Linked DNA regions of Daphnia pulex. The main gene of each other region encodes a partner of the protein of the gene in region 2 in a complex. Links are inferred from orthologs where the notes say so. Each region holds a gene or a part of one and is shown on either strand. Other genes may lie near its edges. The genes, in order: N6-adenosine-methyltransferase catalytic subunit-like and RNA-binding protein spenito-like.

Region 1 (4,296 bases), on a different chromosome or scaffold from region 2:
GATTCCCCTTTCCGGTTATGCAATCAGTGAATAATTTTTATTTTCTCAACTTGACGATCTCAGTTGAACAAAAAGGCATGATTCACGTGATCAATGCATGGTAAAGTCGCGGACTTTTGCGGTGTAAATCGTTCAAATTTCAACAACGGCCTCTTGAGGTGCAACAAAAAGTATCCAGTAACAAAGTTTATCATTCTCTTCTTTCTAATTTTTTTATTTTACGCAATCGAGGTGTGTGACACTTATTAAAAATGGGTGGATCAAAATGAATGAACGTTGAAAATGCGGAAAAAAGTAATTCGGAGCGATTCGCAAATTTCATTTGGCATTGGGGGCACTGGCATCTGGATAGTGTTTCTGGTAGGCTCGGGCAATGTCTGGATCAAGCAGATGGACACCATCGAGTTGATTTCCCAGGGTAATCCTAAATATCATGTAACAATGTCATTTACTTGCACGTGATAAAATTCTCATTTCCTTACTAGCGTCCATGAAAAGCTAACCACAAAATATTAGAAGGAAAAGAGCAAAAATACTACGTCGGGCGTCAAATAGGCAGAACGGAATTGAAGGACAGTGAGTACGTAATGCATGAAGGTCAAGTAAATGAACACACCAATTTGGCTGTACGTTGTGAGGCCTTCCAAACAACTCGATTTTGCGCGTTCCGGGCGAGAGACGTTCAATAATGCCATACATTTCGTCTGGTTTGTGGCTGGTTGCCCGCACTTCGGCCACGATGACGTCACAATCCAGTCCGCGGTTCAGCATTCTGGGATTACCCTTCATACCTACCTATAACCAAACAAAAATCCAGATACGCATGTATTGGAAAGTACGTTCGTAGAATATATACGTAACTACTAACTAGCTTAGTAGAGTGATTAAAACGCAAGGTGTAGTAGGGTGAGAAAATACGTCAATACCAAGCAGTGTTCTTTCCCATGGTTTAACCAGTGTCCTGTTCGACCTGTTCGAATAATCCTTTGTAGCTGGTTTGTCTTGACCCAAATAATTTCATCGACCCGTTCGTAGCCCCATAGCTGAAGGCACTAGAGAGAGAGAACACGCGTGAGTCACTTGGTTGATTTTGCTACATGTTGAACAACTATTTTAAAAATGTAATGATACCTCTCGGCCCAATTCCATGGCTCGACCAGTAACCCAGAGGAATATCAATCCTTCATCTTGAAGGATAGGAATGCTCAGTTGTCTCATCTCGTCATCAGAAAGGGTTCCATATGGAAGTTCCATGTGAATATCCCACGGTGGATCAGCCATGATAACCGAAAACTTACCTGAATCATAAATGTAAAAAAGAGAGTATTAAAAAAAACCATGGGACCTGTACATAAGGTTGCATATACCTAAAATGGCCATATCCAATGACCGTAAATCACACTGAATCCACTGAGCTGGGTACAGGACAGTGCTTTCACCTCGCGAGACCACTGCCTGACCGAGCAAGGAGCCGGGTTCAAAATCATCCTTTGTTTTAATGGCTTGGTCAACCTCGTAATGAACCTAACATTTTCCAGAAAATGAATTTAAATGAGAAGGTCTAGGGGGAATGCACATTGCGCAACAAGCTCACGTATTTGCACGTTTCCATATGAAAACAGGTATTCAAGAAAGAACAATCTCCAAGTGACTCGTCTGTGTGTGACTGTATAATTTTACGAAAATGAAGCCGATGGCAATTCCATTTGCTTTCGAGACCGTCATCTGATTCAGACATCCAAACTTTACGGCATTCATCTTTAGTTCCGTGGGCGCAAAACTCTTTAACCTGAGCCCCTAAAGAAAATTACTAATAATCAAAGTAACAAAAAAAAATTTGTCGCGTAAGGGTCAACTAACCTCCTTGTGAACGGAATCTTTCTGCTAAGGATTTTTCTTTGACAGTTGGTTTCGACAAAAGATCCAGAATTTCTTCGCCCATTTTCTTGTTTTCTTTTTCTCGTGTCGACGGAAGCGATAACAAGTTCTAAGGAAACAACAAGTTATATAAGTATTAAAACAGTGAACATATGTATTTTACCATGACATCATCATTTTTGGAATCTTTTTTTTCTCTTTTGGACTTAGATAGATCTTCTTTCACTGTTACAGTTTGTGCTGGTAAAGCCGACTCTTCAGCTTCCACTTCATTTTCTGTTTTGATGCAATGATTAGATTCCAAAGAGTGGAAAGTAGTATAAATTTACAGAATATTACGCTTTCGTTTCAAGGATATGGAATTTCCTAACTGATCTTCAGTAACCATAGCAACAAGACGAGCATGCTCAGCATGTGTGATGGTAAGTACTGGCTGATTTTCCTGTATGCCATCTACAAGTCTTTGAAATGGAATAATACTTAATATGGATTCTCAATCAAATGTGTACACACAACACAAACCTAATAAGTTCTTGAGCAGCAAATTTTTGGAGAAGATTACTGACAATTGTGTGTGAAACTAGATATCCAATTTGAGTGGAAACATTATGGCAAATGATTCTGGAATCTGAAGGTAAGGAAAGTGTGGCATCGGTTAATATCCTGAGAACACAATTTTCAATATCTTTATTGGCTTCTTTGCTGGAACTTGACAGATTTATCTCACATGCTTCATCTAGAAAGAAAAGAAATGTTGAAAAATCAGAATCATTGTTCTAGAACCTCATTTACCTGAAAATTTTTGATTGCTATCTGTTTTAACAGTTGAAGTTGAATCGCCTCCTCCAAGGAGATCTTCTCTTTCTTTTCTTCTCTTTTGTAACCGTTCTCTAAGTTCATTTCTTTTTGATTTGACAGCTTGAATCTCCTCCCAAGCGTCAGACATTTTGGAACAAATCAAAATAAATGTGAGGGATTATAAGAACAACAAAACTTCACAAACAAACCGGCATATGATAGAAAATGTCAGACAAGCAGCCAGATTGTTTTCATTCTGCTTTCAGTGTATATTATTTTAGACGGCCGCTAGATGGCCTTTTTCTGGAAATTGGCAAGGGCAGCAATAAGTACAAAAACGGATTAAAGATCCATGTAATTAAAAAAAATTAACATTACCATTCACTAGGTAACGTAAACCGATCCAATTTGCATATCATATTTTTTTTAATAAAAAAAAAGATGGCACTAGTGTTGGTTCGGGAAATGTCGTTCACGTTGGTTAGAAGTCGTCTGCTAGGACGTCCTTCCTCTTGTCGTGTTGGAACTTTCAAGTCACTAGTCACATCCAGTACGTCAGCCGGTCTTCTCCTTTAATTTCAGTCCCGATCAAAAGTAAGTTTCAATAAAATGTCTGGAAACCAAGAACGTACCTACTTGATGATCAAGCCCGATGGTGTCCAGCGAGGACTCGTCGGTGAAATCATCAAAAGATTCGAACAGAAAGGCTTCAAATTGGTCGCACTCAAATTTGTCCAGGTATGTGTGAATCACTTCTTAATTATAAGGAATTGGATCTGCCATTAATTCTGATTGTTCTTTAACTTGTTTGTGTCACTAGCCTACTGAGGAGATGTTGCAGAAACACTATGCTGACCTGTCTGGCCGCCCATTCTTTGCTGGTTTGGTGAAGTACATGGCATCTGGACCAGTTGTTGCAATGGTAAAGAAATAATTTCTTTAGCTGCAATTAACTGTTAGTTTAATACATGCAATGTACTTTCAGGTCTGGGAGGGTTTGAACATTGTCAAGACTGGCCGTCAAATGTTGGGTGAGACCAACCCTGCTGACTCCAAGCCTGGTACCATCAGAGGAGATTTCTGTATTCAAGTTGGCAGGTAAGACTAGTTTTGAATGATAACTTTACACCACATGTTAAATTTTTTTAAAATTAGGAACATCATGCATGGATCTGACTCTGTTGAGAGTGCCAACAAGGAAATTGCCTTGTGGTTCAGGGATGAAGAACTTGTTTCATGGCAGCCAGCTGATAAAGTTTGGGTTTATGAAGACTAGATCAATTGAAATATTTAAGGGGGGCTGAACATATCAGTGTTTAATATTTTAACTGAGATATAAAAATATCAAACTGAAAATATTGTCCTATTAAATTTCCATATTATTTTAGACGGTCGCTAGATGGCCTTTTCTGGAAATTGGCAAGGGCAGCAAAGTACAAAAACGGATCAAGGATCCATGTTATTAAAAAAAATTAACATTACCATTCACTAGGTAACGTAAACCGATCCAATTTGCATATCATATTTTTATAAATAAAAAGGTGGCACTAGTGTCGGTTCGGGAACTTTCGTTTCGTTCACGTTGGTTAGAAGTCGTCTGCTAGGACGTCCTTCCTCTTG
Region 2 (4,319 bases):
ACCTAAGCACGACACAAACACACAACACATTCACACACACACACAATCACCGATGCAAACATTGGTCTTATTTAACTGATGCTTCGGGAACCTGAAAAGAAAACGTTAAAGCAAGAAAAAAAGTAAAGAAAGGTCAGGATTGACAGAGCTCATCTAATGGTCAAGAAAATGGTAAAGTTTTATTTTATGGTTTTGTTTGTAGGGATAACAAAACGGCCAAACCCAGATGTCGTTCGTATGCTGGTGAAAAATCTTGGTAGCGGTTGGTAGAAGATTAAAGGTGTGCGCGGGCTTTGTCTGAGAGATGGTAGTAAATCAGTTGTCGATTGATTTGTGTTTTAAGCAGTTCCTCCTGTCAAAATAATACAATTGAAAGATATTAAAATATGAAACGATAGTTAGAAATGATTGAATATACCTTTAACTACAACTATCACCAAGTGATCATCCTTTAGAGTCTCGTCAGACAGAGACGGAGCTGCTCGTCGGAGTAGATCGGCAGCGAATGGGCAAGGAGGGAAGGCGTAAAGGACGCCAGTCACATCTGCATTCTTATTGGCCAGCGAGATGACACCAGCCGCTTCTTTCTGCTTGAGATAAGTCACGAGATTGCGAAGCGGACGATTCTGGACACCTGCAGCCTCGTCGGAAGTGGGACTGGAAGCTCCGCCTGTCGATCCGGGCAGGCCGAGGAAGATGGCGTGAGACGCAGAAGCTGAAACTCGACGGGAAACGTCTTCCAGTTTGGGCGGATCCAACCTCAATCGCTGAGTAATTCGCAAATGAGGCTGGTTCTTCTCGTCGTGAAGCAAAAGATCGGCGATCGCCGCTTCGCCAGATGTCGCGTGTAATTTCGTGGGGAAAAACGAATTCTTGAGTACCAAGGCGCCCGTCCAATTGCTGGGAGAACGTCGAGCCACTTCCGCCAGCGTACGGGATCCAGTGAATCTTCCACCGTCGTCGGTTCGCCTTTCATTCGACGGCGATCGGGAACCTCCTCGGGCAGCGTCAAAATCATCCGGTGGAGGACGTCGGCTGCTGTTTGCCGACCAATCGTCACCATCGGCTCCTGATCCTCGATATCCGCTAGGCCTCTTCTCGTAGCCACTTCGGTTTCCTCGACCCGTCCGACCGGATCCCGCACGATAATTGGGATCATCTCCATTGTTCCAGTTGGTTTCGCCGGCATAATCGTCGCCAGCTCCACTTCTAGCGGTGGCAGCATCGTAGGAAGAAGACGATCCTTTAGTCTTGGCAGTTGGCGGATGAGCTGTCGGGGGATTGGTGTCAACAAAGTCAGTTTTCAGTTTCCGATCCGGGCCGCCCAGACAAAAGCCTCGCATGTCCTGAACGGCTGCTTGAGCTGCCTCAATCGTCTCGTACAAAATGTAAGCCGACGTGTCTCCTTTGTTGTATTCGATCTTCTTAATGGCGCCGAAACGGTCAAATTCACGCTCCAATTGTGCCAGCGACGTCCACGAGCCCAAACCTCCGACCCAGATGCGTGTAGTGGGCGTGGCTTTACCGTAACCGATCTTGACTTGAAATTTGCCAATGTACTGGCCAGAAAGCTCGACTTTACACCGATTGGCCTGGTCCAAATTCTCGAAACGAACAAAGGCGTAAGCGTTGCCAGTGCCTGGAGGCGGTCTCTTGATGTCAACATCCTCGACGATGCCGTAATTGCCAAAGATGCGACGCAGCTCTTCCTCTGTTATGTTGATCTCCAGGTTACCGGCGAAAAGAGTCCGAGTAGCCAATGGATCCTCTTCTGGCGGGATGTGGTGCAAATAATTTGGGAAACGATCTTTCTTGTTCTCGTAGCGGTCGTGATTTCGATCTCCTCTTCCACCGCCTCCTTCTTCATTGCGACCTCCTCCACCTCCACCTCCGCCGCCGCCAGCTCCACCGCCTCCACCACCACCTCCTCGACTACCTCCACCTCGTTCACTTCTTTCATAATGGGGGACAGGTGGATGTCCTCCAGCGCCGTAATAAGAGTGACCACGGTAAGATGACGGTCCACGGGGAGGATAGTCGTACGGTGGTGGACGATAGTCTCTGTACATGCCAGTTGGAGGTGGAGGACCATATCCACGCAGAGAATAATCGTAACGATCGTCGTACATGCGGTGTCGATCATCTGGGGAACGAGGTCGAATGTAACGCTCTTCTTCGCCTCGGTATGGCAACGGTGAATAACTTCGTGAACGCGCCCTGGTGCTTCGCGCGGTAGAGGGTTCGTAAACAGGTTCGAGCACAGCTGGTTTGTCATACAAGATGATTCGCTGCTTGCTGTGCCTGGCTTCACGAGCATCTTCAGGGTTTCTGAATGAAACATAGGCCAAACGGTCTTCTGGTTCAGCACCGTGCACCAACTTGATGCTAACCTCACCATACTTTTTGAACTCTCTGTAGAGCGAGTCTTTGACAACTTCGTCACTGGCTTTGGGATGGATTGAGCTGACAAGGAGAGTCTTGTAACCAGTCGATGGGGGTGGTGGACGAGACCTTGGTGGTGGGTAGTCATCTCGTTCCCTCATCACTGGTGGATCGGGAGGCAGAGGGTATCTTGATCGGTGACTGGGGCTGGGTGAACGCCTACGTCTTGGAGGAGGAGCTCCACCTCTCTCATCATCAGAGCTTTCATCATAATGGCCTAGGCTTGAACGAGAGCGTTTGCTGAAAGGCGATGCATCACGGTCGGACACGCGTTTCATATTGAAGACTTGTCAAACAATCAACGATTCAATGTTAAACAACGTAAACCTAGCAACAAAGATGAATTATCACCAACGACATTTTCACAATCACGTCAATATTTGAGAATGGATGAAAAACTAAACACACTAACCAATAAAGTGGGTCTTGCGAACAGTTATGCAACGAGTATTTCTCACCGAACCAGAGCTTAAAAAGAACGCGTCCGAACAAGTAGAAGAAAATGGCGGAGCTCTATTCTGAGTTTGGACTCGGCTTTGACAATTTTAGCTTCTGGGGGTGGGGTTTCATTCCGTGGCAGCATTGCAAAATGCTACATTTTAGCAATTTATACCTAAGAATTTAATATCGAGAATTTCCAATTAAACTCTTTATTTTAATTGGGAAATATTTTGATTTGTTTTTTAATTTAATATATCAATCAATATTTTAACAAATTCCACACAATGCTGTAAAGCCATTCAGCCGGCAGTCTGTCGTCTGCTGAATAACACGGACAACTAAAAACAGCAAAAATTCAAAACAACCTCATTAAGTACCTGTAAAAGTAAAGACATCGTAAACTTTACTACGATGCATGTATTGTTATTCAGTGTTAATTGCATGTTTCTAGTCTAGGTGTATAATTATGTCGGATAAACCATCGGAAGCTGCACCTGTGGACAAAGAAGACAATTGGGGTTACGACTTGTACCCCGAAAGAAGGGGTGAAGCTGCACGTGCGAAATGGTGGCAGATTGCTTTGTTTGGTGCTGGTCAAACCAATGTAGAAAAAACTACATGTGAAAGGAATGTCTACAATTGCTTTGAAAACAGTAAACATCTCTGAACTTACGTTTTCTTACAAAATTCAGTTGTAAATTAATCCTTCCATTTGATTCATTTAGGTCCTCTTGTTAAGTTAATGTACAGTGCATTAAAATCATCTGGATGGTATGAAATAAAATTAAGGTTTTTTAAATTTCATTTATGCTGCAATATCTTCTCGCATTTTGACATAGTGAAATTGATTTGAGGAGACACATTGCCTGTGAAGTTTGTGATGTCTCGGTTTCTGGTGGCTATGATCCAAAACTTAATCAAGTAAATATTACAGATAATAAATAGTCCTTTTTTCTCAATTAATAATGATAATCTTTTGATTATGTCTATAGATAGTAGTATGCCAGAATGTAGTTCGGAACAAGGGAATAATTCAAGGAATTTTGACACACGAAATGATTCACATGTTTGACGCATGTCGACACCAACTTGATTTTAAAAATATCCACCATTTGGCGTGCACGGAAATCAGAGCAGCTAACCTGACCCATTGTAGTTTCATGTCGGCCATGTTTCAGGTAAAAAAGTGTGTGATCAAAACGTTGAGCAACCTTTTATATGGCTTTTTAATCTACAGGGAGACGCTTCGCCTTTCCGAATCCGTAAACAACACGCCGAATGCGTCAAAATGAAAGCATTGGGCTCAGTGATGGCCGTCCGTCCAGACGTCACGAAAGAAGAAGCGCTAGCAGCCATAGATAAAGTCTTTATCAAATGTTATAACGATCTTGAGCCGATTGGCCGTCGGATTCGTCGCAATTCGGCGGATATGATTC

Evidence for each region.
Region 1: RNA-binding protein spenito-like (region 2) and N6-adenosine-methyltransferase catalytic subunit-like share a complex: the UniProt entries of both Drosophila melanogaster proteins name them as parts of the WMM complex. The link is inferred for Daphnia pulex from reciprocal best matches to the Drosophila melanogaster genes nito and Mettl3.

What each region holds. Positions count from the first base shown.
Region 1 is NC_060028.1:8,119,285-8,123,580, forward strand, and holds N6-adenosine-methyltransferase catalytic subunit-like, read right to left. Parts: upstream 2,998-4,296; 5' UTR 2,825-2,997; coding exon 2,671-2,824; intron 2,615-2,670; coding exon 2,401-2,614; intron 2,340-2,400; coding exon 2,218-2,339; intron 2,155-2,217; coding exon 2,042-2,154; intron 1,988-2,041; coding exon 1,861-1,987; intron 1,798-1,860; coding exon 1,595-1,797; intron 1,525-1,594; coding exon 1,368-1,524; intron 1,299-1,367; coding exon 1,132-1,298; intron 1,053-1,131; coding exon 927-1,052; intron 796-926; coding exon 617-795; intron 486-616; exon of another isoform or gene 425-485; coding exon 319-424; 3' UTR 199-318; downstream 1-198. UniProt on the Drosophila melanogaster protein: Catalytic component of the WMM complex, a complex that mediates N6-methyladenosine (m6A) methylation of mRNAs, a modification that plays a role in the efficiency of mRNA splicing and is required for sex determination.
Region 2 is NC_060023.1:11,551,189-11,555,507, reverse strand, and holds the start of RNA-binding protein spenito-like, read right to left. Parts: upstream 2,997-4,319; 5' UTR 2,855-2,996; exon of another isoform or gene 2,770-2,854; 5' UTR 2,721-2,769; coding exon 419-2,720; intron 353-418; coding exon 339-352; 3' UTR 1-338. Other genes in the region: mitochondrial inner membrane protease ATP23 homolog, read left to right, coding at 3,350-3,536, 3,609-3,654, 3,723-3,804, 3,876-4,061, 4,121-4,319. UniProt on the Drosophila melanogaster protein: RNA-binding protein that acts as an associated component of the WMM complex, a complex that mediates N6-methyladenosine (m6A) methylation of mRNAs. M6a modification plays a role in the efficiency of mRNA splicing and is required for sex determination.